Linked DNA regions of Drosophila melanogaster. The protein of the gene in region 2 interacts with the protein of the main gene of each other region in a pairwise test. Each region holds a gene or a part of one and is shown on either strand. Other genes may lie near its edges. The genes, in order: lig, CG12521, spaw and CG6733.

The links.
Region 1: the proteins of CG12521 (region 2) and lig interact in a two-hybrid assay, tested with the Drosophila melanogaster proteins (one large-scale study listed by BioGRID).
Region 3: the proteins of CG12521 (region 2) and spaw interact in a two-hybrid assay, tested with the Drosophila melanogaster proteins (one large-scale study listed by BioGRID).
Region 4: the proteins of CG12521 (region 2) and CG6733 interact in a two-hybrid assay, tested with the Drosophila melanogaster proteins (one large-scale study listed by BioGRID).

What each region holds. Positions count from the first base shown.
Region 1 is NT_033778.4:8,066,318-8,077,017, forward strand, and holds the start of lig (lingerer), read left to right. Parts: upstream 1-3,511; 5' UTR 3,512-3,581; coding exon 3,582-3,962; intron 3,963-4,017; coding exon 4,018-4,195; intron 4,196-4,503; coding exon 4,504-5,921; intron 5,922-6,045; coding exon 6,046-6,461; intron 6,462-6,809; coding exon 6,810-6,917; intron 6,918-7,049; coding exon 7,050-7,154; intron 7,155-7,282; coding exon 7,283-7,383; intron 7,384-7,656; coding exon 7,657-8,183; intron 8,184-9,094; coding exon of another isoform or gene 9,095-9,100; exon of another isoform or gene 9,101-9,155; coding exon 9,156-9,290; intron 9,291-9,347; coding exon 9,348-9,473; intron 9,474-9,542; coding exon 9,543-9,791; intron 9,792-9,975; coding exon 9,976-10,359; 3' UTR 10,360-10,700. Other genes in the region: CG17977 (uncharacterized protein), read right to left, coding at 433-441, 809-976, 1,026-1,127. UniProt on the Drosophila melanogaster protein: Acts in the nervous system to mediate the control of copulatory organs during courtship.
Region 2 is NT_037436.4:11,845,046-11,850,482, reverse strand, and holds CG12521 (uncharacterized protein), read left to right. Parts: upstream 1-2,679; 5' UTR 2,680-2,768; coding exon 2,769-2,969; 3' UTR 2,970-3,100; downstream 3,101-5,437.
Region 3 is NT_033778.4:8,357,710-8,365,544, reverse strand, and holds spaw (spacewatch), read left to right. Parts: upstream 1-3,388; 5' UTR 3,389-3,445; coding exon of another isoform or gene 3,446-4,321; 5' UTR 4,322-4,622; coding exon 4,623-6,032; 3' UTR 6,033-6,077; downstream 6,078-7,835. Other genes in the region: cola (comas sola), read left to right, coding at 256-1,035; swif (swift-tuttle), read left to right, coding at 1,200-2,054; whip (whipple), read left to right, coding at 2,532-3,032; hubl (hug-bell), read left to right, coding at 3,446-4,321; CG11635 (uncharacterized protein), read right to left, coding at 6,078-6,938.
Region 4 is NT_033777.3:23,094,272-23,100,690, forward strand, and holds CG6733 (uncharacterized protein), read left to right. Parts: upstream 1-3,456; 5' UTR 3,457-3,487; coding exon 3,488-3,578; intron 3,579-3,635; coding exon 3,636-4,127; intron 4,128-4,186; coding exon 4,187-4,604; intron 4,605-4,661; coding exon 4,662-4,866; 3' UTR 4,867-4,920; downstream 4,921-6,419. Other genes in the region: CG17110 (uncharacterized protein), read left to right, coding at 1-50, 109-523, 579-783; CG17109 (uncharacterized protein), read left to right, coding at 1,462-1,552, 1,612-2,100, 2,161-2,578, 2,638-2,842; CG6738 (uncharacterized protein), read left to right, coding at 5,303-5,393, 5,448-5,939, 5,993-6,410.

The DNA.
Region 1 (10,700 bases), on a different chromosome or scaffold from region 2:
GAAATCAGAACTTAAAAATCGAATAAATAAATAAATCAGTGATTGCTTTGCAATGGAAAACAAAAGTATGGTAAATAATAACAATTATTAGAACCACTTAAAAGCCACATGTGGTGAAATCTTTGATCCATATTTTTCCAAGGGGATGTCGACCAGAACGTTACGGTTTAAAAGACTGGCGTTTCGAGGCGCTATGCAAGCCGAAAATAACCTCATTAAAGCGGAAAGAACACAACTTACTGCAGAGAGCCAAAACCGGTTTGGCTTAATATTCCTTTCGTTGAGATAAACGTTGCAAATAAACGAAATGCAGCATTGATACCAGCTTATCGGCTAATCCCAATCAGAATCTGGCTCACACTTTTGGTTCTGTCTAATCCTCCTCCGTAAGTCGTGGTTTCTTTTATGATATCGTCGCCTTAATGTCTGTTTTCAGGACCCCTAAAGATGAGAGATTACCAGAAAATGTTTTCTTAAATTTTAGCGCAACTAACTAAAAGTACTGATTCTAAAAATATTCCTGCTTACTAATTTAATTTCACAAATACGAACAACTTAAGATATAATAATATAATAGATATGGAAAGTTTGATGCACTATAAAAAAGGAACCATCGCGGTCTTCAAGCATAAAAATATCCCATGCAAATATAATTTAGTTATTTAGAATGACTAGTAATTATAAACTAAATTGACCCATTAGCTTATAAGCCAGGATAGTTTTTTTTACGCCAAATTATAAATAGCAACACCTAATTTAGTAAACGAAATGAATGCTTTAAATCTGCACAAAGCTATACTTAACTCACCAAAAATAGTTTCGTTAATATATTTGTATGAGATGACTGACTGCTGACTGAGAGCTCACCGTCGCAGTTGTAAGCCATGAGAATATCGTAGTTGAACATCTTTGACAAATTGTTTTTCAGCGGTTCTATTCGACCTTCTGGCCTCAGGATGCGGTGAATAATATGAGCCTGGAAAACAAAAAGATCAAGTTTGTAATACCCCAATAATCAGGCTTACGTTTTGTGCTATTGCCCGGCTTTGAAAGATTCGCATCCAGATTGGAAAGCTCGTCGGGATCATACACGGGAAAATAGTCCAGTTCCACCTTGCAAAAGTCATTTTGGTTTTTTAGGATCTTTTCAAGCTTATTTTTGCAGCTCCTCCATTGCATCTTTCAATATCTCGACGTCGTCGTCACTCGAATATTTGGGGCATTGGTGTGTGCTCATTGCTCGCCTGGGTAAATATACTTAATGTTTTGTCATCAAATGCAATATTTTGTCCATAGTTTGGTAAATGAACTGATTTTGTTTGTTTTTTTTTTCAAAAGTAGTATGTTTTGTTGATGATAGAGGTGTGCAAATGCCAACAACTTTTCATTTGGTATCGATATACCACTTGATTTAATACGAGTTCAAAACCTTTTAACAAGGAGCATACAACATATTTAAGATCGAAATCAGCTTCTAATAGGTAAGCTGCTTATATTAGCTAATGGAAAATTGGATAAATTAGCTTTTTGAAGCCTTTTAATAATGGTATAGAAATGTTATCAATTTAAAAATTAGTAAAACTGATTCGTGGCACCGCTAGATTTCTGAGTCCAGGGCTGCATGCCCAGATAAAGCCATATCGATCGACTAACGAGCGGTCACATTAAAAGTGCGTTTCTCGGCGCATTTGCAGGTATTGAGTGTGACTCCGTTTTGAAAATTTGTTTATCCAATTTAAAGCCGTGACCGGAACCCTGCTGAGGTGTTAAAGTTTAGTTTAAGTGTCCCCCCACCTGTGCAACGTGTTTTCGACATGTCTCCCGGGGGCTTGTCAGCGAAAAACTCGGTTGAAAATTCAATAGTGGCCGCTGTCTGGAGCGGCGGTCGTCGTCAATTACTGGGTCCCTTGGTTTACATAAGAGCGAAAGAGTCGGCTAGTGTGGCGTTGCAGAAATGGCGTCGAAGTATGTGCACATGGCTGGGTCTATTAAGGCTATATATCCCGTTTGCCCCGCAATGTGCAACTGGGAGTGCGTTATCCTTGCCGGGTATGTCACATATTGGACAAATTTCGCCAACAACGAATCGTACATTTCGCTTATTTCGGCGCAGTGTACGCCACTTTGTCCGGTTTTGCATTCCACTTTGTGCGCTTCATTCGGTTTCAATGCCCTCGCATTCAGTGTTGCCAAGTGCCGGAGCGTACCTAGTGATGTGTGCCATCCGAGTCCTGCCGTGAATTTGTGCGTTTGTGCAGATATTGTAGCTAACGCTGTTTGCCCTCTCTAGGACCTGCTACCTCGTTAACGAATCCAATCATTGTGCTCCGATTGTTGGTTAATTTAACGGCCTTGCCAAGTGCCGCTGCGCTTTGTTCGCACCTGGCAACACTGGTCAGCCCGCGCTGGTGCGGGTGCGAGGGAGATGCCGCTAGGACAGATGCAGAAAAGCGAGCACAAAAGCGAAAGCGAAAAACCGAAGCGAAGAGGCCAAGGAGTTTATAAATCAATTTTTGTGTATGTCAGTCACCGCGATTCCCATTGCAATTGGTATTGAGTAGTTTCCGGGTCTCGGATCGCAGTTCCCCAGTTCCCGTGGTCAAATTTCCATATCATGGTGTACGTGCGAAATGCGAAACCTGATGGAAAAGTGATGGCGACAGCGGTCTTTTGTTTGTGTGCGGCAGTACGCGCGTGTGTCTGTGTATGAATAATGCATGGAAAGGCGTTATTCACGGCAAACGTTGATAAAACTGTTTTGACAACAAAAATTGAGTGATTCAGATATGCACTTGGTATCGGGGTCGCCTCTCCCGCTCTCTTTCCCATGAACCACCCCCCCTGGAAATGCCAACTGACGTTTCGGCTTGGATGCGTCGTGGTCACGTACCCCGCCACCCCCTCGGCAATCATTCTGTTACCTGTTTTGCCAATACACTTTTCACCCCCCTCATTATTTTTGTTATTTCTGAATGCTCGCTTTGTTTGTGCGTACGATCTTCCCTTCCTCTCGCACTTCTTTGCTTCGGCGTGTGTCTGTTTGTTCACGTTCTTTCATTCTCTTTTATTAAATGTACATTGAACTCTCATCTTGCCAACTTTTCCTTTGCTGCTCTCTTTCGGCCACTTGTTTAGCCATTTTAACACATTCCCAGATAAAAGCTGTCTGGATTGTGGGAGTTTACCATTAATATTTCCACGCCGACGAATCAAGATTTAGATCTTAACCATTCATTATTCTCTATCCAACAAAAAATTTATGTAAATGCGCTGTAAATTCCAATTGAATTTCTGCTATATTATAGTTGAATATCAACTAACAGAAGCGAACCAGGCGGCTAACTTTCTAAATCAGCAACACCAAAAATCATTACTTATTACTCTCTACTTATTTGCATTGATCTTTAGATATTACTATTTTACTTATAGAACATTAAGTAAACCCAGAGAGTCCCATACTCAGAATCCAGTCAGCACAGACTTAAATTTTTATCAGTCAGTTTGTAGATTCCCTGGTTTTAAGATCGAATCCTTCATCTTTTTCGTATTGCAGCTAATTTGTATATACAGTGTACATAGAGATGAGCACACAAACTCGTTCAGGCGGCGGGGGAGGCGGCGGCCATGCCCGCAACCAGAAAAAGTCAAATGCCAGCAACTCCGGCGGAGGAGGAACCGGCCATCACGATGGAGTCTCACATGCTGCGGCCGCTGGCAAGAAGGGAGGCCAGGATGCCAGCAAGACAGACAAGCCAGAGAAGGCCCAGCCCAAGGCTACCACCGAACAGTTGCGCATTGCCCAGATCACCAATAGCACCACAGAGGATCCGCAGATCAACGAGAAGGTTCTCCTTCTTTTGACCATGACCCAACGTTCCGAGGAGGAGGTCTGCTGTGCCCTCAACGAGTGCGATTACGACCTGGAGGCCGCGGCCAACTTCTTGATCGAGGAGCTACCGCAGGTTAGTTTCGATTCTAATCTCCCGCGCTCCAGTTATTCAATTGAATCTGTTTTAGGGCGCCTTTGCCAAGTACGAGAAAAAGCGCAAGAACAAGGCTGCAAATAACACGGCTGATGGTGCTGCTGGCGATGGCGATTGGGCCGATGGCAATGGCAATGCGGACAGGCGGGAAAAGTCGCGAAACCGCAGCTCAAATCGCGGAGGCACCCGTGGCTCCAGTGACAGTCGTGGATGTAAGTATCATAAGCCACGCTCATTTACTAAAACGTTTCTTAGGGCATTACTAAACGTTTTGGATCTTTAAGCTCTGCATTACAGTTATTGTAAAACTGCTAAAAATAACGTTTCTTTTTATGTAGAACATATATAAAAATTAAGATCGTTAAATATTCCAATGCTGATTGACATTTAAGGTTCAGCATTTGTTGGTCATGCGCGAGCTGTAATTAGAGAAAATATTAAATTGATGAAATAATTTTAGTAAATGATATTTATCCTAATCCTCTGAACATAAATTAATATTTGATTTCTAATATTGTAGGGCGCGGAAGAGAGACTCGTGAGAATGAGCGCAACCAGCGCGAATCTCGCGAACCTTGGTCCGGGCAAAACGCTGGTCAGGACCGCGGTGACGATCGGGCAAATGACAACTACCGCGGGCAGCGCAACGGCGGCGGACGCAGTGGTCCCGGTGGCGGTGGACGCGGTGGTGGCTTTGTCTCTCGCTCTGGCCGTGGCGGCGGCCGCATGGGGGGACGCACCGGTGGACCGCGTGGCGATCGCGGCAGCGGAGGCCCTGGTGGTGCTTATGGATCAGGTCGCGGTGGCAATGCAAACGAGGATCACCACGAGGTTGAGCTGTGGGACAACACCATTGCCCAAAATGCCGAGAAGCAGCAACAGGCTCATGACGATGCCTGGGGCGACTGGAACAACGAGGAGTACGAGGGCTCGCTCAAGGACAGCAAGGTGTTCACCACTAGCAACCTGGCAACGCAATCCGCTGCCAACGTGGTTAGCGGAACTGGCGCGAGTGTTACAGCTGTTCCTGCGGCGGCTGGAACCGAGATATCGGCGCCACCGGGCCTTGAACATCAGTTGGTGCAGCAGGGATCTCATCTGGAGGAGAGCTCCAGCAGCGGCCCAGCGGCGGTCACACCGCCAGCAACGCTGAGCGGCTCGGCGACCACGCCGCTGCTGCAATACAGCGCAGCGGTCAGTAATCCACCGCCCCAGCTGCAGTCCCAGGGCACACAGTCAGGAGCGGGTACAGGAGCGAGCGCAGCTGCCGGCGGAGGAGCAGGCAGCACACCGTCATCCTTTGTATCCGCCTCTCCCGACACATTCTCAAGCGCCGCCTCGGCAGCTGCCACGCTGGTGCATCAAGCACAAAAGCAGCAGCAACTTCAGCAGCAGACGACGCCTATCAAGCCGTCGGCTACTTTGTCGGTCGAGCAATCTCAGTATTTCAACTCGTTGGCCAGCCAGGGCGTCAGCCCAGGTTCTGTTCCAGTGCAATCGGCGCCAGCGGGTTACGCGCAAAACCCCGTGGCCGCCTACTCCCAAACTAGCACTAGCGTGGGTGTGAGCCAGTACCCCAATACCTATGCCAACGTATTCGCTTCTGGAACGGCAGCTGGAGCTGGCACTGCCGAGCAATCGCAGCAGCAACCGCAGATACGGAGGGCACGTGTTAAGCTGCCACCACCCTCGAAGATTCCTGCGAGTGCCGTCGAAATGCCCGGAGACAATGCACTGAACAACATTGGCTACCTGGACGTGCAGTTCGGCGCTCTGGACTTCGGCACGGACGATGGCTTCGAGCCATTGCCGGAGAAGGTTGGTTCGGGCTTTAGCATTGATGGTCAGCAGCAGCAACAGCAGCCAGATGACTACCAGAGCAAGTCCCAGCAACAGCAGCAGGTGACGCTAGCGGCAGGTCTACAGAGTTCGCAGATTGTAAGTACCGTACTGTATCCTTTGAATCACCCAAGTAATCATCGTCACCATGATTTAGTTAATACGATAGTTTTTAGCATAGTGCATATATTACTGAGAATCTAATAGCATTCCTCATTTATAGAGCGATGCCTTAAATGCAGCGGGCTATACAAGCCGTTCGACGTCACAGCAGCAGCAGGGCGTTAGCTCAGCGGTGAATGCCACAATCGATCAGCTGACCAAGAGCGATCCCTACGGACAGACGGGCGGCAGTGGTAACGCCTACCAAAACGCGTACCAGAGCAGTGGAGCGAGTAAGACAGCCAGTGGCTTTCCGACGACCGCGCCCGGTGGCTACAGCAGCTCCACATACGCGAATGTGCAAAGCTCAGTAGCCAACAGTTACCAGCAGCAGGGATACGGCTCATACCAGCCCAGTTCCTACCAGCAGCAGGCTGGCAGCGGGGCTCAAAGCGGTACAGGTGCGGTAAGCGGAGGCGGAGGAACGGCGACGCAAAACATTCCGGTTGGAGGCAGCAGCAGCCAAAATAGCACGAGGTATGACATGATCCAGTATTGATTGTTTAATATTTAATTCCAAAGGGTACGTACCCTTGCAGAGATTCGTAGTTACATATTTCTTAAATTTAAAAATTATTTCTAAGCAACAAGTCGATTTGGCAAGGAACAACTAACTATACTCAGCAAGGGTACAAACCTTATCGAATATATCTTTTACTTCAAAGTTTAAATATTTGTGTGTATGCAAGTTTTGCTTAACAATTAGCCCCACCCGAAAGAGAGCTAATCTTCATTTTGTTTACTGTTTTTCTTCTCTCCTAACACATTTAATGCTCGCTTATGTCCCAAAAATCCCAAACCGCAATCGCGCTCCGCACCTAACAGCGGCAATGCGAGCTCTGCCTACCTCACATCCGGATATTCGACACCACAAAGTGCTTACCAGTCAAGCCAGAGTGTTTATGGCAACACTGGACTGTCCAACAGCAGCGGGTAAGTACCAAATGTGACGATCCCAATCCCAATACGATCAGTTCCCTGGGGATGACACGTACCTTATTTTGCTTGTTTGGACTGGTTCTGGTTCCATTATGCTTAATTGCGGCTTCTCGCCCGTTCGTTCAGGTTCTCTGGCAGTGCGAGCAACGCGTCCTCGCAGTACGCCAATTTCAGTGCCAGCGCCAAGCTAAAGGATGCGACCACGGCCAGTAGCGCCGCTCATTACGACAGGTAAGAGCGAAACCCCCGCTCTGCATGCCCCGCTTTTTCAAATATTCCGACTAACCCAACCCCCTGGTCATATCCCACTTAGAGGCGGATGCCTGTAGCACTTAATGTTGATCTTATTGACCTTTCAGTGTCTCAACCAGCAGCGGAGTGAGCAGCAACAGCGGAAGCACAGGCAATGGCGGTGTGGTGAGCGGTCAAACAGGTGCTAACCAGGCGGCTGTATCGAACAGTAAGTAATCGATGATTTAATATCAAACAGTTGAGGCCCTAAAGAGTATGCATTGCAGTCATTAAGCTTTCTGGTATAGAAATCCCATATCAAAAATATTTAAAAACAAACTCACAATGTCAAATCTACTTCAATCTAGCCACGGCTTTGACAATACAACTCTCCAAAATAAATATAATTTTTGATTCAAACTTTTTGTTTAGCTGAAATGCTCTATTTTTGGCCGAATTCTTAGTATTCGCATTTAAACTAAAACCTTTCCGTCCTCTCCAGATAACAGCGTGAGCGGCAGCAGCTCGGTCAGCAATGTGACGGCAGGCGTTGCGAGTGGCAACGTAGCTGGCGTGGGCGGAGGCGTAAGCCAGAGCGGCGTAAGTAGTGGAGTCGGCGTGCCCGGTGGCAGCGCGTCCAGCGTCGGTGTGAATGTGAACAACAACAGCAGCAGCGCCAGCTCGGTGGGAGCAGCGACCGTTGCCCAGACAGCCACGGGAACCACCGCTGCAGTGCTGGCCTCGCTGACCAACAAGAACACCAGCAGCAGCAATAGCAGCGGCAGCGGTGGCAGTGCTGCCACGACGACGGGCAACGCCAGCGGACAAGGTGCGGGAGCAAGCACCGGCGGCGTGGGCAGCTCGTCGGGTGCTGGTGGTGCTGGTAGTGGTGGTGGCAGCGGTAGCGGCTTGGTGCCCACCAACATCCAAATGGTTAGTCAATATATTCAGACTGGATTGCCATACTATCAGCAACCAGTGTATTCCTACGAGGAATTGCAAATGATGCAACAGAGAGTGCCACATGTGGTGAGTTCATGGAGAAAAGCAAAAGCAAATATCAAACCAACAACTACATAATGCAACCGACCAATCAACCGAACCGTTTCTAATCAAACAGTAATCGTATCAATATGCTCCCATTATACAACGTTTTCGCATTAGTCAAGACCTAGTTCCATTTAAAATTTAAACGCATACGACAACTGCTCAGCGCATCCCAGCTCGCCTCCCGCTGCTGATCGAAATCGTTAATCCGGATCCTGGCTCGTTGACGTTGCGGCCTCCCACTCCTAACCGTTTCTCAGCGTGCATTGTACATAATAACATACATATACCGCGATGTCTGTGATCAAGTCCTTATTATACCACCTCCTAAAAGTCTGTGTCTGTTTGAATATGTATGTGTGTGTGTGATTGTGTAAAAAGCTGACACTTTCCTTCGCCACCCTGCACCATCCGCTTCCGTTTTCATCCAGTTCCACATTCCTGGCATTATCACAAAAAAAAAAAGATAAACAATCCACATGTATTGCTTACCTCCCAGGCTCTGCTTTACACTCAAAATTAACCAAAAACTAATCCGAACGTTCTTCCTCGTTTCCATCTACAATGTAGTTGTGGAATTAGGGATGCAAAGCCAATTCAAATCGAAGAAATATAACCTTAAAATATAAATATATATATACTTGAATTACTTTGCATCCCTAACTACAACGAAATCTGTGCTCCTTACTGACCCATTTCATTCGATCACTAACATTTTACCCTTTTTTTTTTCTTCAACCTAACATCTGACTAATGTATAAATTTCTTACATTGAACATAACGTATTTCATTTTGTTGAAACTGGTACACGTGGTTTTGTCAGACCTTTATCACATATTTATTTTGTTTCGGTAAGAAGTTCTGACAAAGTGATCCGTTCATCATCTTCACAGCCATAACACGCCCAGAATGCTCGCGTGAAGACGAACCTAATGCTATAATTCTCAATTGCAGCAGGGATATTACGATCTGAACTATCCGCCGGCCAGTTTAGGAGCTGGACGTGACAACCTCGGCTCTGTGACGTATTCTGCTATGAATGATGGACGCTTTGCCCGCACTGACAATAACTCCAGTCCGGTCGGCAATGTATGTGCTCAGCTTAGATAGATAGATCGATAGATGGTAAAAATGTTTATTTTGCAGGTCTCCAGCACAATGTCGCAACAGGCTGGCTCAAGTGCGCCCATGCTAAATGTTCCTTACGCCTACTTCTATGGTGGCAATGTAATGCCCGGTAGTTTTCAATATGGCACGCCCGCCATATATCCAGTAAGCCTATTACATTCAAATCACTTTGTATGCAGTATCTAATCAACGTCTAAACTTATTCAATTTCAGCAAATACCGGCAGCAAACACTGCCTCCGGTCAACAGTTCCCGAAGCCTTCGTATAGCGCGGGCTACGGCTCGACCAGCTATGACACTCTGTCGCAGACCACGCAGGACTACAGCAAGGGCGGCTACTCGTCGAGCGTGAATCAGCAGAGCAAAACTCAGACTGTGTCCAACCAGTCGCAGGCAGGCACTGGATCCGATCTGACCTCTTCTATGTACGGAAAAGGACACGTGGCGCTGAACAAGGTTAATGTACGTATGGTTATAAGCAGGGCTGTGGATTTGGATGCAGGTCATCATAGCCTGAATTCGATGTTAAAAGACTTCAATTATCTTTGAGCAAAAAACAATACAACAATAAGATTTCACAGCCCTGGTTAAAACACCTTATCTCCCGACGTGTCTACATTGTACCATTGTATTTTTCGTTATTCAGTCGTACGAGAAGCAGAGTTTCCATTCGGGCACTCCGCCCCCGTTTAACATGCCCAACACTCAGACGGCTGGAGGCACCTCTGCCCAACCGTACGGCATGTACTTGCCGATGCCAGCGGCCGGACACCACAATATGATCCATCAGCCCATCCACCAGGTACATTCAGAATTACCACTTCAGGTTGTTGTAGGCGGAGGGACGGAAAGTCATGTTCTCATTCATGGGAATGTGAACGGTCCTCAAGTTACATACCACCGGATCTGGCAAACCGAACCTGTCCAGTGTCAGAATCAGCTCGTTGCCGCTCATTGCAATAACTTTGAACCTAATATCGACTGCTGTGTTCATGACAATAACAACGACTTGTCCTTCTTCGCCGACTGATGAAATGCTTAGGGAACTCATCTTGTTATTGTTAACACATCAATTTTATTTTCACCAATTGTGTAGCTGCACACCCGCCAATACATTGTACACTTGTTGACTGTGATTACATATAGGTTTATGTCCTTAAATAAGCTTATACCTACACTAATCCTGGATAATCACACTTACCAGTTTTTTTTTTGCCCTGTAGCTATGGAGTTGATTTGTTGAACCGCATGTATTTGTAAATTGTTTCCATTATCAACACTAACCGCCAAGCATATATTTGTAAGTCCTCTATTACCTATCTACGCACATCATCTGTAAAACAAACACCCAAAGTATTTTATGTGTGACAA
Region 2 (5,437 bases):
AAAAATACATTTTGTTTTTCATTCCTATTTTGGGCTGGTTGTGTGCAATTTATAAGCGTGTGAATACATTAAAACAGATTCAACTTTTTGAGGTATTCTACCAGTCATGAACGTAATTTTGTTAGGTCAGAATTTAATGAAATTAAATATGTAATTAATTTCGCAATATCAAATAACAGTCTTACCATGTATTCTAACCATATACTATCTTTTATGCTCAAGCGATCAAAACCTTTGGATACTTTAGTTTTTATAAGTACTTGCATGTAAATGGAATGAAGACTAAGTTCCGGAATGTCGACCTCAGCTTAGCTATACCAGTAGTACAAACACACGCGAGTCCTTATACAATCGCAGAGTCTGGGGAACATAAAAAACGTTAAGTGGTCGTAAATCAAAATTGTTCAAGAATGGGAAAGTTCGCAAAGTTCCTCTTGCCTTTACTACTTTGCGACAACACGGAGTCCTTTTGCCAATTCGGTCTTATTGTTCTCTTCCCTGGTATTTATTTTCAGATACTCTTAGGCCAAAAAAAAGGAACTCCCAAAGGATCCGGAAATTGGCGACGAGAAGCAGCGTCCTTGCTGTGGGCAACTGCCAATCCAATTTCGTGCATTTGCAGTCCATTGAGTTTCGCTTAAATTTTAATGAAACTAAGCGCCCACCATACAAATAGGAAGCGACACCACCAAGTTTTAATATTCTTGGTTTTTTTTTTAAATTTTTTTATTTTTTTGCTTTTTGTTTAAAAGGTTCTGTTTTGATTGCTTCTGCTTGGCTGTGGACCCCAATCCGCTGGGCTTTTGTTCAATTTGTACAGTTTTCGAAGTCTTAATAGAGTCACTAATTGTTCTGCACAGACATGGTGGTTGGTGGATGAAGCTTGGCTCTTTCAGAAGTCCCACGAGAATGCACGAGTATTGTCTGCGAAAAATGCTTAGAATGGAAGTTATGGGTTAGAATGTGGCATTAATAAGGAAGCCACCTCATTTACCGGTTAAATTAGACTGCAAAATAAAATTTAATTTGTTTATTTAATTCGCTATAATCGAAAATGGTTGTGGTTTTTCGGTCTGCAATGCTAGTTGATTTATTTTAACTCTAATATTTAGATGAAATATTTGCAGCAGCTCTAAGAAGTAAAGTCAAGGGCTCGTAACTTTTGGACATCATCATAACTGCGTTAACGGTTACATTGGCCATTAAAAGTAATTGCCCAATTTCACGGCGTAAACAGCCACGACAATCCATCCACTGGCAGTTGGGAGGCTGTTAAAAGAGAATGGACGTCCCCCAGGCGAAAATTAAGAACTGACCGTTAAGGAGACGAGCACGGCCTGGCATCGCATTCTCATTAACACGCCAGTCCGGTTTCAATTTCCTGTTTCATTTTTCTGTTCATTATAAATGGCTCTCAACATGGCCGGCCAGTCAGTTGAGCCGCCAACTCCGGACCGCAGAAGCAAAAAGCCATAAAGAATGTGCCACGACAACTGCGACAAGTTGATGGACAAAATAATGCCTGATGACATTTATAATGAGCGGAATTTTTTGTTGATTTTCGCCCCTGTTGTTAGTGTTGCAGTTGATAAGTGGAAACTCGCTTCATGTGACCGAAATTTGCGCTACATAGCAGCATAAAATGTGTGCTCTAAATATACCCCAACACCCAACATTCTCAGTCGTTTTATTAAGTATTAATATTAGCATTAGTAGAAGCTTAAATCGTAGATAAAGTATCTGATCCGAATGGAACGCTTCCTTTACAAGGTCAAAGGTGAAGGTTTATTTAAAATGAAATGATAATACTGAATCTGCTTTTTGTACATGAAGAGTTCTCCCTAGATAGATATGATTAATTAGATATATTCGTTTTTTCACGGTAGCTCAACACGTTAAAAATCGAGTTCACTAATTTTAACGAAATTTATATGGCTCAATAGATTTTTTTATGTATTTTTGATGTTTGATCCTTACACCATTTGAATCTGTGATGGGCACAAATGATGAGTCCCAGTCATCTTTCTTCTCTTCTTATCTGCCGTATTCATAAGAAGATGTCGTTCTTACCGCCTTATTGTCTGTGTACCCATTATGGTTTAAATTATATATATTATATATATATATATATATACAGATATATACAGATTCTAGAGACATAGACGCAGCGCTATTTTTTTGACCCATATAGCCACGCCCAAACTTTTGTCAAATTTTTCCCTCATATTATTATTTTTTTTACCGATATCACAAAACATATTACAATTTTTCGTTCACAGTCCCAGCTGAGTAACGGTTATCTAATAGTCTCGTTTTCTTATTATCAACTGAGCAAGTCTCCGACTTGCGAGTAATTTGCATACGAAATTTACATATCTGCAGTCCCCACCCACAACGCCATGAACCATCCTATTCCGGCGTATTGATGTATCGCAACCAAAAATGCAGCACAGCATGGGTGTCGAAGGCAGCAACAAAGGGTGAAACAGAATGGACGGTGACCAACTGACAAGTGACACTTTTCCAATTGAAATTCCCCCTCACCCAGCAACTGCACAACTCCACTGGAAAAACCCGACAAGCAGTGTGCATACATATACGTACATACAATACATACATATGTACATTCAAAGTAGTCCACGATGGTCATGTCAGCCGAGATGTCATAAATTTGCACGGGCACAAAGATCGAATATTCCAAATTGAGCTCTGGCGTTTTGTATTTTGTTTTTTTGAAATTTTCAAATACTGCCGGCTAAGGAAGCACAATGGATGGCTGCCACAACGACATCTTGGCGCCCCTCATCCTGGCCATTATGGTGGCCAATGGACACCCGCTCACCCTGGACGAGATCGTCGATGAACTGACGGCGGTGATCAATTCGCAAACCGAGCTCGCCATTGCGCATGAAAATATTGGAGACGGAAAACATAGCCACAAGTCGTATAAGCCGAGACGAAGGCACTAAGGATCTTAACATGCGTTATGTGCCAAATTTAAAATGCAATAACTTATTCGAGATTTGAGTGAATTTAATCTCTTGAACTATAATTTATAATAAACTGATCGTGTCGGCGGCGACACTTATTTCCGTCCGTGAGTGAAATAGTTATTTAATAAATTTCGAAACAAATGTGCTTAAAAGTGATTAAATACACATTGTACATTATTTCAAGACGGACATATGAAAACTATGCACATGTATGTTGTTTTAAGCTCAAATATCATTAGGGGAAAAGTAAATATTCATAACTGAAAAGAAAATACTTGCTACAGATTGACAATTTATCATTTATTTTAAAGCTACGAGTATTTTTTCATCCTGTTCATTGCCCTCAAGCATCTCAAATTACTGGCTGTAGCAAAGCAACTCTGCATACATTTTTCTGCCTTGATGGGATGTACATATGTATGTATGTACGTACATATATTTTCGTAGGTGGTGGTGCGCGAAGCAGCAGCACGTGTGCAAAATCTACGGACAGAGCGAGTTAAAAGTTTTTCAGCGTCGCGAAAAATTGTTTATGTTTCGCCTTAAAAGGAGCAGGGAAAAATTTCGAATATGTAAAGATGTGTGTGGATTGCTGGAGAAACTACGACTACCACCGGCATAGCGCCCACGAGGATGTGAGTGCGGCGAAGGAAAAACACTTTTCCTGCCGCGGATCCGTGAAGTTGGGGAAATTGTCAGCACCTGTAACCGGGATGGGATGTTAACTTTGGGTAAAGAATCCCACACGTACGACCGTTCGCCTAATAATCACGTGCCGTGAAAGCTCATTAAATTCAGAGGTGAAAAGCAGCCTCGTCCCCTCTTCTGTTGCCATTTTATAACCACATAAATGTGCATATGTACATACATCAAGATGTACATACATGCATATATCCTCTGGCAGGTAGATGAAATCTGCGAGGCTCGATTACATTTTATTCTCATCGCCAGTGAATTTCACTGAGATACATTTAATTTTTAATCTGAGTGTGTAGATTCGTATTTAGAATTTCGGCGAGCTTATAAACAGTACATTTGTTTATATCGATTTGATTTACTTATAGGAAATCTTGGCCAGCGTATCCCGAAACCTTTGCCGAGACTAGTCCAGACTTTCAAGATGTCCACGGAACGGATAAGATCGATAGCCTGGACTTTGCGAACCGAGTGTTATTTGATGTGTGTCCCAAGATGCGACCACCGCTGAAGCAAAGTGGCAGGGATCAGATGTGACGTCTGGTTTTCCATGGCGGTGTAAATTGTAATACCAATAGCAATTTACTATACAAGATAGAGTATCTCTTCTAAACTTGAATATAATAAAAATAGAAATTGGCTTAAAATATGCTATTCCTAAATAGATTTCATTGTCGAACCAAAGCCTAGTTAAGATATAAACCCTATAAAATTGAATGTGCTTGTTTTATGTATATCAAACATGGGTGCACGTATATATGTGCCCCAGTCAACCACATAAAGTGTTAAATTTTGTAATTTCCGGTGTATTTTTGAAGGTGTCAATGGCGCATTAATTTCAAGTGTTCAACAATATATGACACTCGAGGCGATACCGCCGTGCAATCCAAAGCAGCCCGTAAACTTTTATGATCCCAGCCTCGTTTATATCATCGCCGGGAAGTTAAGCCCACTCCGATGCCAAAATGAGGGTAGGTTATGAAATAAAAGGGCGAAGGCGGATGACAAGTTCGCAGTTCATAAAACGGCAGACGGGCTGCGACAACAAAGCAAATTGGTGGACAACCAGGACATGGGACTCCAGTTCGCTTGCAGGATGTCCTCTTCTTCGCATGAGCGAGTACGCTCGACCGCAGATTCGTCGCTTCTGCTGCGGGCGTTCATTTTTACGGTCATCGGGTCACTAGTAAAAATAATCTTATGACCTCCCATCTGTCCTTCCGAGTGCTTTGGACTGTCAGCTGCAGCTTCCTTTCAGATTTTTTTCTGTTGAAAAAACTTTATGATTCTTCCATATTATTGAATAGTAAGCACGTATTTATGCATTTAAATATGGCAAGGAAATATACGAATGCAAACCTAATAAACCCAAGTTAAAATTTCTATCATACGCGTTATATCATGATATTGTACTGAATAAAAATATAACTTGGAATTAAAAGATACATCGAATATACGTACACTTGGTATCTATGTATATGTATATGTGCTGGATGCAAACCACCTGCACCCACATGCTCGTCAAATGTTTCACGGATTCAAGGATGATGGGATGCTGGAACCCCCATTCGCCGACCAAGAAAAGACAAGGTATGTACATATCTAAGTATACATTTGGATAGGGATTGATGTTGGATCATTTCGAAGGTGTATGGGTCCCGTGGGCGTATTTTGGAGGACTCTAGCCGAATCCCGTGGATTTGCTGACATGGCCATGCTAACGATACATGTGAAATTTTAATTGATTC
Region 3 (7,835 bases), on a different chromosome or scaffold from region 2:
GGACTAAAGCGGGCTTAATTTTGGGTATACATCATTCCTTCCCACTGATAGTTATTTTCGTTTAAAGCTCGTAATCAGTTAAATCAAACTATCTAATCTCTTCTCATGTTACAACAAATAAATTGGACATTTTGGGTCCAATGCATAGAGTCCTTTGGCTAGCATGTCAGATACCCGCCGCCTCATTTCAAATTTCGAACTTCACCCTTTCGGCTAACGCCTCTCTAAATTAGATATTCAAAAAAGGCAGGCACCATGATCACCTCGAAGCTGCGCCTGCGCCGAGCACAGATTCCCAGGTTTTCGATCACGAGTCGATGGTACAATTGGGGCAGCTACGATGCCAGCTCTGGGGAGTGCTGCAAGATGCGCGACAAGGATACCACGGCCTGCAAGGATGGAAAATGGTTCTGTCCGGTCAAGTACGAGCCCAACAAGTGTTACGAGAAACCATCCTTTGCAGTAGAAGAATACTCCCAGTATCTGCAGGAGATCTATAATCGAGGCAAGACCAATCCCGACTGCTTGCTGAAGCTGATCCGCCACGACGCTGAACATTACAAGCCGTCAGATAAGCAGCGCAAATTCCAACGGACTTGGCCAGAGTGTCCGCTCCTCTGGCTACGACCAAAGGACTATTGCTGTCCCGATCAGGAGGTATATCAGCCCATGAATCGCCGCATCCGCCCCCCGCAGGAACCACCACTTTCGGCTATTGAAAAGCACCTCTTCCAGATGAGTATCTTTTGCAAGTCCGTCAGGGCTCCCTGTTGTAAAGTAGGTCGACGTCCGCCCAAATGCACCAAGCCGCGGAGGCCATCCGAATGCTGCAAGAAGTTCACTCCGATGCCTAGTTTTTCGGAGGCCTGCCGCCATCTGATACCACGATTCTGTGGCTCCGAGTGTGCCTGTCGTGGAGGGAGCTTATGTGAAATGTGGAACACGTATAATATGTGCAACAAGTCGCGCAGGAACTGCACCAAGCCGTTAATAGGGTATTCTCCGTTACGATCCAGGATGCGATTTCCATTTTGAGAGATTCCTAAGTGTGCAGTCGTCTGATTTATTTAGAGGTTCTTCAACAAAGAGTATGCGGAAGTAACCTAACCAGTGACCTAGTTTTCCCGGCCTAGTAACTCACAAGTTCGACAGCTTTCGAAAAATCATTAGGCCAAATCAAAATTCTCAAAATTTTAAGCATGCAGTCAGCACTGTGGATCTTTTGCAGACAAGGTTTCAGGAGCTTTGCCACTAAAGCGCAAGGTTTCAGAAGCTTCGCCAGCAAAGTGACCTACCACGCGGATCCGCCATGCCAACCTGTCGACCCTTTGTGCCATCATGTTCCAAGCGGCAGATGCGTGCAGGCCAGGGAAACGATCAATCTCAAACTGCCACATGAGAGGTTATTGAAGCAAGAACGCGATCAGAAGAAGGAGAGGAAATGCTGTGTCCTGCGATCGGCGGCCAAAAATCCCTGCGTAGAGATAAGACGACCCAAAGCCGCAAAGCTGGAGGAGAAGCCATTCCGTTCGATGTGGGAGCCACCTTGCAAGGCGAACGAGCAGCCGTTCTGCAAGGAAATGCTGCCCCGCTTCGATGCGATGTACTACCATCCCTCAAACAAGTGCCGCTGCTACCAACGCACCTGGGTGGAGTGTTCACCCGTTAAGAAACGGCTGAAGAAGGTTTGCTGCCTGGACGCCATCGAACCTCCTGAGATTCTGTACCGGATCAGGCCGCCCTGCCCAGGAACTTGCCAAATCAACTATAAGGCTCGAAGGCTACTCTGTGCGGATGGAGAATGGGAGCGGGACCCAACGAGGAAGTGTCCGAAATTCTTTCACCCCTGTTGCAAGCTGGCTCGCTGCAATCCTCGTTGCTCCAGAGGCAGAAAGCCTACCCTATGCACCAAGTTGCGAGCTCCATATCCTTGTTACTCAGAAAAAATAAGAGGAACAAGACCGCTCCGAAAAAGAGAGTGCCTTTGCTTGGAGACCACCCCGAAATGTATAGCTCTTGCGGAAAGAATGAGACGCGATGGATTAAATCTGTGATAATCCTACCGAAACACGTAAAAGTGCAAGTTGAGGGTCTGGCTTTTAAAACGAAGTAATAGATACAAAGTGATGTTTCTATTAATTTGCTTTAGCAGTCAGGTATCCGATCCTAACAAAAAACCATGGAAATTACTTAATAATAACAATTTGGCATACAAAATTTATAATTGAATTTATGAGTTGTAATAAAACATATAATAAAAATTCATTAAATTTATTTTTATGCTTTTTTTTGGATTTTTAGTATTTTACATCAAGGTCACCCACGCCATTGCAGTCATCTATAAAATGAATCGATTATTTCGGAGTCACCCATTTTTTAATCAAGCAACAGGCTTCCAAATCGAACGTTTCCATTTAGATACTACCCAACCCATCTCTCACGCAGACCGAAGCATTCAGGGAAACTAAGCAGCAGAAGAAGCCAGCGAGAACTGGTGAGGATCTGAGATGGGTACCTCTGTATTGGCCACGATGTGTGCTGAGCGCCTGACCAAGCTCCTCGTCCGCTACTCCCGTGCTCAGCCTCCCGTGGGGCGGAATCAGTCCCACTGCGTCGATAATGTGCTAAGTCCTTTGCCAAGGAGCGAAGCAACTACCGCCTTCCTGAAGCCAATGAACAATGCTGGCCAGGACCATCCCCCATCGAAGTCGGCCAACAAGTGGCAGCCGATGGGTACCATCACGAGCATCGGACAGAGATTCCAGCGTGAGGCCATGGATGAGATTTGTGCCAGGGCCAAGGACCGCCTGCTGCCAAAGACCGAACCTCGACGCTTGAACTTCTCTAGAAATCACGCTTTCTTCCCCAACAAATCGAGAGGCCTTGAAGATTGGAAGAAACCGGAGGGTGGGCGGTACTCAGCTCCATTTGTCAGCCTATTCCAGGCTCCGAACTGTCCTAGTCTGCCTAAGAAGTCGTTTTCTCATCCGCTTGCCTTCGATCGTCAAAAACTGTATCGAGACTGCTATTAACCAGAAAAAAATGAAAGTTTTCGATCCTGATGCCAAACTCATACGCAGACCAATTACTCCACGCTCATTTTAGCGTAGTGATTGGGTTGCACTTGCGATTGGCATCAGGGGTCCAAGATTCTCCACAATTAGCCGTATTAAAGATGTAATGTGTAAAGCAATAGTCTTTTTAATCATTGGCCTATATACGGAGTGAAGTCTGGTAATGAATACTGTAGAATGTATTTAGCAGCTTAATTTTGTAGACCAAACTACGGTCTTCCGAATAAGAAGCACACATAGAAATTGACTGAAAATGTTAGGTGACAACCCCATATGAGAAACCCCATATTCAACTCTTAACCCCATACTTTTTCATTCGTTTCGGCAACACTTCCTCTACGAGAAGGAACTCAAATTTAAGTTCACCAGCCATGCTCAACTCTTTGGCCAAGAGAATTGTGCTTATGCCCAGCCTTATAGCACTGGAGGATACTTGTCGAACTATTCACGTTACCGCCCTAATGGCGAGGATGGGAAAGGATTTCTGTCCCGTGAGTGAGGTTCCCGACTGCAAAGTGGTGAAGAAGCGACCGTGCAGTCCCACGGATCCACCTGTTCGTCCTTGCAGCGAGGAGGGCTGCACCCAGCCGCGATACTCATGTTGCGTGAGTACCGGCATTTCGGCGAATCCATGCGCTGATCCAAGCAAGAAGACCAAGTTCGTTTCGATGTGGAAGAGATACAAGGATGATGGTAGTAATCGGCCAGAAGCTATGTGGCACTACCCGGAGGAGTGCTGTCCAAAGTGTGAGGATACGCGATTTGACGTTTTGTACTATACACCGTCGGACAAGTGCCGGGAGTTCCAGCGCACCTGGTGGGAATGCTGTCCAAAAATGGTACCGAAGCGGGTCTGCTGCTGGTGCGACGCCATTCCACCGGAGGTCCTGCGGCGAGATTTGCCCATCTGCCCGCGATCCGCTTGTCTCGCAGAACATGAGAGGAAGCGCTATAAGTGCCTAAACAAAAGGTACAAAGGTTGCATGCGTATCCGTATGCCGTGTTGTCGAACCGCTCGAATACCGCCCGACTGCAGGGCATTCCCCGGTCCTTCCGATTGCGAGAAGATCAAGTGCCCGTTCCCGAGTTACTCCGAATGCGTTCAGGAGGATCCCGCTGTTATCCCAACCCGGCCACCAGAGTGTGAGTGCTTGAAAAAGGCGTCTCAGTGCGAGCAGATCCGACGAGGACGGCACATGGAAAACAACGACATAAGCATCTGGCCGTGTACTTCCAGGGGAAGATGAAGACCGTATCCCAGGGTTATAGTAACTGGGGTCTTCGCTGGAATTTTTGTAACACAAAATGTAACAAAAATTCCAACAGAGACCAAAGTCCTGAACGGCAAGCCCTTCACCAGAAATCATAAACCTTTATAAACTCTTTTTATATTTATGATTTCTGGTGGTGTTGGGTATCCCTGTGGAATCCCCATCCCAGCAACCCAACTGAAAATCTGTCAGTTGAGGTACATCTAATATCTCATTCAATTGGCATCCGGCACCCTGTTTAAAATTCAAAATTCTAGGCCTCGTTCAAAATTAAAACATGCCTCGCCTCTCGGTTTTCTGCGGATTATCGCGTAGAATCATCTGCTCCAGCACTGCTCACCGAAACCTTTGGCGACTGTTGTCCGACAGTTCGGAGTCGACCATTATCCCACACGTTTCGGACAAAACGGAAAGTGTGAAGAAATTCAAAAAGGAAACGCAGGTGGATCACACAAGTCACCTATTTGTATGGCCGGAGGCGAAGGACGAAAACGTTCATCATGTGAAAGAGAACAAAGAGGATAGCAATGACGATATAACTGCATCCTGGGGCTGGAAAAATGACGAGCTTGACGTGGAGCAATTGGCAGGACTACCAAGTCCTAATGAGGTGGAGGATCCATACCGGCAGCCAAACAATGAATCTCAGGATGATCAGTTGCCATTCGCTGAAGGAGACCAATCAGGAATTCAAGAAGAATTACAATTCGCAAGAACGCGCTCCCTGCGAGAACAGCTTGTCAAGAATCAGGCGTCCCAAGAACCTTTTACCAGCTTTGAGAAAACATCTCTCACATCCGTTCGAAGGAATGTGGACTTCATGATGCAAGAGCTTAGTCAGATTTCACTTATTTTGAATACTATGGGAGGAGGTGAAAAAACAATGGGGATGGTTAACTCTGAACCGGATGTGGCTTCCTTTGCACTCAACCAACCCAAAATCAGTGAAAGTTTGAATCATGAGGAGGAATCAAATCAGTCAGTGGATAGAGCTAGTTCCCATCAATCTGAGCTAGGTGTTGCAGATTCTATGCATTCGGAGGTAGCCAGTGCGCTCTCAGAACCATCTGGATTGGGTGATGTAGAGAGCCTAGATCATAGCGAGATTTCGAACCAGTCTTTTGATTCCGAACTAACGAGGGATATCACCGATCAACTTAAATTGGATCACGAGATGGAAGCAAATCAGTCTTTGGATTCTGAGTTAACCGGTGAAATAACTAATCAATCTAGTTCGGTAGTTTCAGAGTCTTCGATTTCCGATGAGGACTTCGGGGAGGAGCTAATAAAACAATCTCACAAAATCGAGCAAATTGCGTCTGCTGGCGATACTCAAGAGTCCAGTCCTTCAAAAACCAATGAGAATACTCCCAAGACTGATGACACGCAGGACACTCAGCCTAAGGAAACCATACACACCTACAGGCCCTTTAGGACTATCGAAGTTCCTGCCAAGAAGCCTACTAGTAGCCTTAGCACCGAGTCAATTGAAGAGCAGCCGTTGAACCAGGAACCCCAATTCGGCACAGGTATCCATTTAGATAGAGAACGGTACAAAGTTTCTGCTCAGCTGACCGAGTCCGAGTCCCGCTTACTTATGCGCATGGCTCTGAAGCAGGCTTTAATCGATCTGGAGTCTGGCCAAAGCAAGTACAAAGCAACAATTCTGGAGGCTGAAACCGAGTAATACAAGAGCACCAATGACCAAAGAAATAAACATAACCTTTAAAACTTATTTTTTATTTTTATCCTTGTTCTTATCTTTCTTCTTATCCGTGCCCTTATCCTTCTTATCCTTTTTCATCTTCTTGAGCATGTCTTTTCTCGCCTTCTTGGCCTTTTTTATGGCACTGGGACAGACGTGGTTCTCACCATGAATTTTGACCCACTGACGACCCCGCTCCGCTTCGCAGAGGCTCAGGGGGAATCGGCACTCGCACTCGCGAGGTCGATATGGTCGCTTGGCCAGCTTAGGCTGCTTACAATCCGACCAGCAGGGCATCGGTGCACACAACCTGCGGCAGCAGGAGGGCGTCTTGGCCGCGTGGCATCTGGGCGGACGACGTCCTGGCACGCATCGTGCCAACGGAGCGAAATGGGGACATGGTCCTGTGGCTGTGGCACTGAGCGTTGTCCGCTCGCGCCGCTCGGCCACCCGACGGGCGGGGCTCAGAGCCTCCAGCTTGTCGTAGGCGCAGATTATCTTCTTGCGGATCATGAACTTGGGGCACTCCACCCAGTGGCGCTGGTAAGGACCGTTCTTGCAGGAGGGACGGTAATACAGCTCGTCGAATGAGGGCAGTGGTTTGGTGCAGTTGGGTTCGCAGCACAAGTCATTTGATCGGCTGACCACGAAGGGGTACGGCGGAGGCAGGTTCTTCGGCGGATCCCACATCGACTTGAACTTATCCCCTTCGGCGCAGAAGGCGGCCGGAATGCAGTGCGTCCGGATCTTGCATTCTCGTTTGGCAGAAGGAGACTTTGGTGGAGATGGTGACGATGGTGGCTTCGGTGGACTTGGAGGTTTTGGGGGTTTATTCGAGGAGCCGCTCTGACGTGAGCTGAAGCCCCTTAGTAGGGAGGACCAAAACATTAGCCGAAACTTTTAATGAAAGTGGAATTTTGAAAATTTTTGTATACCGTAACGCCGTTACATGAATCGCTAAATTAAAATTTTTTGCTTGGTATCCGAAATTTCGATCGAGGCCTACTGGACGAAAAAGAGCTGGTTGAAAATTGGAGAAAATCGGAAGAGGGTCCTGTCGCACACATTCACTTCTCCTGCAACTCAACTTCAATGCAACGGCGACAGGCAACACAAAATTGCAAACAGCGGACTGCGCATGTTTAAATTTAATTGAACATTTAGCCAAATTAAAATGCATTTTATTACGCAGCCGCTGTTTCTGGCCTGGAAATGCAAAACAACGCGCGCCCAATCAGCCAGGCCAAGTCAAGTAAATCCAGCGGAGTTGGCCATACGCGCAGATAGACGGAGGAAAAGGCAGGCCACACTGGAAGAAATACAATAAACATATCCAGAATTCGCATATCTACTCAGTTCAGATAATCAACTCGAGATAAATCCATCCACGATGATAAACAAACAGTAACAAGAGTATTGAATGTATACTATTCGTCCGTATTGGTTGCAATTTTTTCCAGTGTAAAGACACAGGCACGGCCAAATCGAAAGACGCTGACTGGGCCTAGGCACGCAACGGTTATTCAGTTTTGTCGGTTTTTCGATTTGGCCTTAAGTTGGCTAGGCAGTGCCTATGCGAAATTTGGCACAGATTCGCGGCAGATTCGATGCTATTCGGCTGGGATCGGATCGGATTTTGGATTGGACCGAGGCGGAACTGCGAGTTGCAAACTGGTTGGAGACAGGCCTAGCAAGCATGCGTTCTGCAATTGTTTAATAGCCTAATTAAGTGTGCGAGCGAACAGGTTGGCCAGGCCGGGAAAGTCGGAAAATCAGAGAATCGGA
Region 4 (6,419 bases), on a different chromosome or scaffold from region 2:
CAGTGAAGATGACACTTATCCTGTATTTTACGCCGAGCGTACATTGTGGCGTAAGTCTTCCATTTGCATCAGTAGCAATATATTCTGATTCATTTTATACCCCTGCAGAACTTCGATTTAAATTCAGTGGCACTTCAGGTCATGGATCGCTGCTGCACAAAAGCACGGCTGGCGAAAAGTTTCACTTTGTGATGGATAAGCTGATGAAGTTCCGAGAAACCCAGGTCAAGCTACTGGCCGAGGACTCCTCCTTGCAGTCCGGTGATGTGACCACTTTGAACCTGACCCAACTCAACGGTGGCGTCCAAAGCAATGTGGTTCCCCCCGTACTAGAAGCCACTTTTGATATTCGCATAGCCATCAACCAGAATGCCGATGCAATGGAGAATCAGATTCGCGAGTGGTGCAACGAAGTCGGTGGTGGAGTGGAACTGGATTTCACGCTGAAGTGCCCCTCGGTGGTGACCAAGATAGACGACTCCAATCCCTACTGGCTGGGCTTCAAAAAGGGACTAGATGAACTGTAGGTAAACAAAGATTGTGTAGTTTTCACTTCATAATTTGTTGAAATTTTCCAGAGGTTTGATCACCCATACACGAGTTTTCCCCGGCGCCACCGATAGCTTCTACGTCCGGCAAGTGGGAATTCCCGCTCTGGGATTTTCACCCATCAACAACACCCCGGTGCTGCTGCACAATCATGATGAATATTTGCGGGCCGACACATATCTGCACGGAATTCAGGTGTACAGGAAGCTCATCCCCTCTATTGCTGATTCATAAAATGTTCAAGCGAAGTTCCACTCATAAATGGAAATCAATATGCTACAATTGGTCTTATCGCTTATGAGTAATGTTTTTGGCTCGATGAGTGTAGGACCAAAATTAAATGTTTAAATGGTGTGACTACTACAAATCATATCTGTTTCTAAACAAATGAAAATCACACACTGATAACACGAGTTTCAGAAGAGAGTTTTTGTCATGGACTTTGCCCTCATTCAATATCCAATAAATCGTCACAACTATTGATATCGTTCTCAAAAACTAACGTAACCTTCACGTAAAGGGGTTGTATTTTATATATACATCATAATTATCAATAATTACATTAATATGTATTCTATTTTCTTATCAAACCAAATACAAATTATAATAACCCATTTTTTCGCAGACCATAAACGACGGTGGTTGAGTTTTATTGGTGTTATGTGAACTTTATCGAATTGGCTACCGTTTGCTATTAGACATTTGTTTTGGTAGAATTTTGTACAAGAATATGTGCTGTTATCATTTCTATAACAACCGAGTTTGATAACGAACTCATTATTTGATAATAATACGAAGCCAAGGCCATAAAACCAAAATCACCCAACACACAAAAATTTCTGTATAAGTTCATTTTTTGCCAACTGCGGCACATTCGAGTTTGGTGACTGGCAGCGAAAACATATCCACAAAATGAGCACCGAAAAGTGGGAGGACAACGAGGAAATCAAAATATTCCGCGAATATTTGCGCATAGCTACGGTGCAGCCAAATGTGGATTACAGTAAGGATTCCCCAAGGAATTCACAGAAGAGCACTACTCATGTACATCTTAACTTCTAGCCGAATGTGTGGAGTTCCTGAAAAGGCAGGCTCACAGCCTGGATCTTCCCGTGGATGTTATATATCCAGTGGAGAAGAAGCCTGTGGTGATCATCAAGTGGTTGGGCACCGAACCGGAGCTGCCCTCCGTCATTCTCAACTCGCACATGGATGTGGTGCCGGTGTTCCGTGACAAGTGGACCCACGATCCCTTCGCTGCCGATATCGATGAGGAGGGCAGGATCTTTGCGCGCGGTACTCAGGACATGAAGTCGGTGGGCACAGGATATCTGGGTGCCATCCGCCTGCTTAAGGCAAGTGGTGTCCAGCCCAAGCGCAATTTCTTCGTGACCTTTGTGCCCGATGAGGAGATCGGCGGCGAGCTGGGCATGCAGGAGTTCGTCAAAACGGAATACTACAGCAACATGAATGTTGGTTTCAGTCTGGACGAGGGCGGCACCAGTGAAATAGATCTGTTCTATGTCTTTTATGCCGAACGTATGCGATGGGGTGAGTAATCCTTGAGACACATCTAGGACTAGAATCTAAACTATATCCCCTCTTTGGCAGGTCTCAAGCTGAATTTCAGTGGAACCTCTGGACACGGCTCCATGTTGCTGCCCAGCACTGCCGGCGTGAAACTGAACTATGTGCTCAACAAGCTGACGGAGTTCCGCGAATCGCAGGTTCAGAGGCTGGCCAATGATCAGACAATCAACATCGGTGATGTGACAACTATCAATCTCACCCAGCTGAGCGGTGGAGTCCAGAGCAATGTGGTGCCTCCTCATTTCGAGGCTGTCTTCGACATGCGTCTGTCCATCACCCTGGATGTGGTTGCCTTTGAGAAACAGATCCACGATTGGTGCGAGGAGGCAGGTGGCGGCATCGAGATCTCCTTCGACGAGAAGGAACCCTACGTGGCACCCACAAAGATCGACGACTCCAATCCATTCTGGCTGGCTTTCAAGGCTGCCACCGATGAACTGTAAGTCTGAATCGAATGCTCAACAATGCGTGTTCCTAATACGATTTGTATGTTTATAGTGGCCTTAAGATCTACCCCATTGTCTGCCCCGGTGCCACCGACAGCAGGAACATTCGAGCTCAGGGCATTCCAGCCTTGGGATTCTCACCCATCAAAAATACCACCATGCGCATCCATGATCACGATGAGTTCTTGGGCGCCGAAACTTATTTGAAGGGCATTCAAATATACAAGAAAATTTTGGGCAACCTAGCGAATGTCTAAAAACTAAATCGAAATAATACATGAAAACCTTATCAAAATAAAGATTGATGATTTTGTTATAAGTTAGTACAAAACTTCCTGGCCTTTTATCTTATCTCAACGAATACCTTAATCAACTTAAGATCTGAAGAATACAACTTGCTATCCTTGCGACAGCAAGTAGATAATGGATGTATCTACATTTTGCTGTATCATCATAGATAGCAAGTTGGAAGACTGGGAAGCCCATTAAATCCAAAATAATCACTTGATTTTTTCAAATCGAAGGTCATCAATCAAAGCTTCGTCATTTTAATTGAATTTGTCATAATTTTACGATATGATGGAAAATATTGAAAAATACATGACAACTTACCAAGAACTTGAGGTTTCAAAGGTTGAGGTTGCATAGATAATACGCAATGAACTCATTTCTGTGTAAGTTGCATAGATAATACATAATGAACTATTTGCCGCTTAGAAAAGTTACTTATTCGGATAATAGACGTGTGGGTTTTGCAGATAAGGGCGTTACTATCGCAACCACATACACTTTTGATAAGCATTTAAATTCCTTGACCATAAACATGAAAGCAATCAGTGTGATTATAAAAGCACAGACAATCTTTGTTGCAGCTCAGTTGCTGATGACAGAAGAGTGTCGAAATGAGCTCGGAAAAGTGGGAAAACAATGAGGAAATTAAGATTTTCCGGGAATACTTGCGTATACCAACGGTGCATCCAGATGTTGACTATAGTGAGGACTTAATTTTAATTCTTTAAAGTTTGCGTTATAATGTCTTTCAATGTCTAGCTGCCTGTGTGGAGTTCCTGAAACGTCAGGCTAGCTCCCTAAATCTTCCTGTTGAAGTGGTTTATCCTGCTGTTCAAACGAAGCCCGTTGTGATCATCAAGTGGGAAGGAAGTCAACCCGAACTATCGTCCATTGTTCTCAACTCTCACACGGATGTGGTGCCAGTTTTTCGAGAGAAGTGGACCCATGAACCCTTCTCCGCCGATATTGATGAAGAGGGTAGGATCTTTGCACGGGGTACTCAGGACATGAAATCGGTGGGCACTCAGTATCTAGGAGCGATTCGCCTGCTGAAAGCTAGTGGCTTCAAACCAAAAAGGAATTTGTATGTGACCTTTGTTCCCGACGAAGAGACTGGTGGTCATCTGGGCATGGCGGAGTTTGTTAAGACGGATTACTACAAGAAAATGAACGCGGGATTCAGCCTGGACGAAGGCGCCACTAGTGAAAGTGACGTTCATCATTTGTTCTACGCCGAACGTTTGCGATGGGGTAAGTTCCATAAGGATGATGATGATGGATTGGGGACATTACCGTTTCGCTTTATGCAGGACTCAAGCTGAAAGTCAGTGGAACTTCTGGTCATGGTTCCCTTTTGCTACCCAATACGGCAGGAGTAAAACTGAACTATCTGGTCAACAAACTGACTGAATTCCGCACCTCGCAAGTGGAGAACCTTGCGAGAGATTCCAGCCTCAGCAAGGGCGATGTGACCACCGTGAATCTCACCCAGTTAAGTGGCGGAGTCCAGAGCAATGTGGTTCCGCCACTTTTCGAGGCGGTCTTCGACATACGGATTGCCATTACTGTGAATGTGGTTGCCTTTGAGAAACAGATTCGCGATTGGTGCGAGGAGGCGGGTGGTGGCATTGAAATTGATTTCTTCCAGAAGGAGCCTTATATAGGACCCACCAAGCTGGACAATTCCAATCCCTACTGGCTAGCTGTCAAAGCCGCAATCGATGAGCTGTAAGTACCGACTAAAAATTAACTATAATGGCTAATCGAAATCCTCCTGTGTTTTAGTGGATTGAAGGTTCATCCCATCGTTTGTCCTGGCGCCACTGACAGTCGTTTCATTCGGGAGAAGGGTACCCCAGCCATTGGATTCTCACCCATTATAAACACCACCATGCGGATCCATGACCACGACGAGTTTCTGCAGGCTGATGTGTATCTTAATGGCATTGATGTGTACAAGAAGATTATTCGCAATCTGGCTGAAGTCTAAACAAAATGTTTGAACTACATGGATCGTGGCTATAATAAAGATGGGCTAATTACTAAAGTGTGCCTCGTATCTTCATTTTAGAGAGTAATCTTATCAAAAAAAAAAAAAGATTCAAGAGTTTAATTTGAAATTCCGTGTTTATCTCAATATTGTTTGTTGATTCTTTGACTTTCGCCTCCTTGATCAAGATATAAATGATTCTGATGGGAATTCTGTAGCAGATTGTCAACTATACTGCTTCTTGTCACTACCTCGACTGCCATCCAAAGTGACTTGCAATATAGTCAGAATTGGAAGAGATCTGCCGCCCATTGATAACGATTTTCTTATCATATACGCATAATCACTTTTGTGGCACGATCCAAATGCATATAAAGACAGCGGATGCCTTTAGCTGCTTATTTCTACTTTACCATCCTAACGATTCATATTAAAAATGAGTGCCGAAAAATGGGAAAAGAACGAGGAAATTCGAATATTCCGGGAGTATTTGCGAATTCCATCTGTACACCCTAATATTGATTATAGTAAGGTCCTTATTTTAATATTTCCTTAAATGCATTAGCACTATTCATTTTTAGCTGCTTGTGTGGAGTTTATTAAGCGGCAGGCAGATTCCCTCAATCTGCCCGTGGAAGTAGTTTTTCCAGCTGTTAAATCAAAACCTGTGGTGATCATTAAATGGGAAGGAAGCCAGCCAAAGTTGCCCTCAATCATTTTAAGCTCGCACATGGACGTGGTTCCTGTATTCCCGGAAATGTGGACCCATGAACCCTTCTCCGCCGACATCGACGAGGAGGGTAGGATCTTTGCACGAGGTGCTCAGGACATGAAATCGGTGGGCACTCAGTATCTAGGAGCTATACGCCTGCTGAGGGCTGATGGCTTTCAGCCGAAAAGGACGCTCTATGTAACCTTTGTTCCTGACGAGGAGATTGGAGGCATCCATGGCATGGCAGCGTTCGTTGAAACTGACTTTTACAAACAAATGAATGTGGGATTCAGCTTGGACGAGGGTGGAACTAGTGCTTCTGATGTTCATCACTTGTTCTACGCCGAGCGTATACGATGGAGTGAGTAGCCCGTTCAGCTTTCACATCAGTTGATTGAACTTCCCATTATTCAGTTCTCAAATTGAAAGTTGCTGGAACCGCCGGTCATGGTTCTCTATTGTTGCCCGATACAGCCGGAGTTAAGTTGAACTATGTGTTGAACAAGCTGACGGAGTTCCGTGAATCGCAAATCCAGCGACTGAAAAACGACAAAAGCCTGAGCATCGGGGATGTGACCACGGTGAATCTCACCCAGTTGAGTGGCGGAGTGCAGAGCAATGTGGTTCCACCGCTTTTTGAGGCCATTTTCGACATACGTCTAGCCATAACCCTGGATTTGGTTGCATTTGAGCGGGAAATTCGAAATTGGTGCGAGGAGGCAGGTGGAGGCATTGACATCGAGTTCCCACTGAAAGAGGCCTATGTGGCGGCCACCAGGCTGGATGATTCAAACCCCTATTGGTTAGCTTTGAAAGTCGCTCTGGATGAACTGTGAGTATA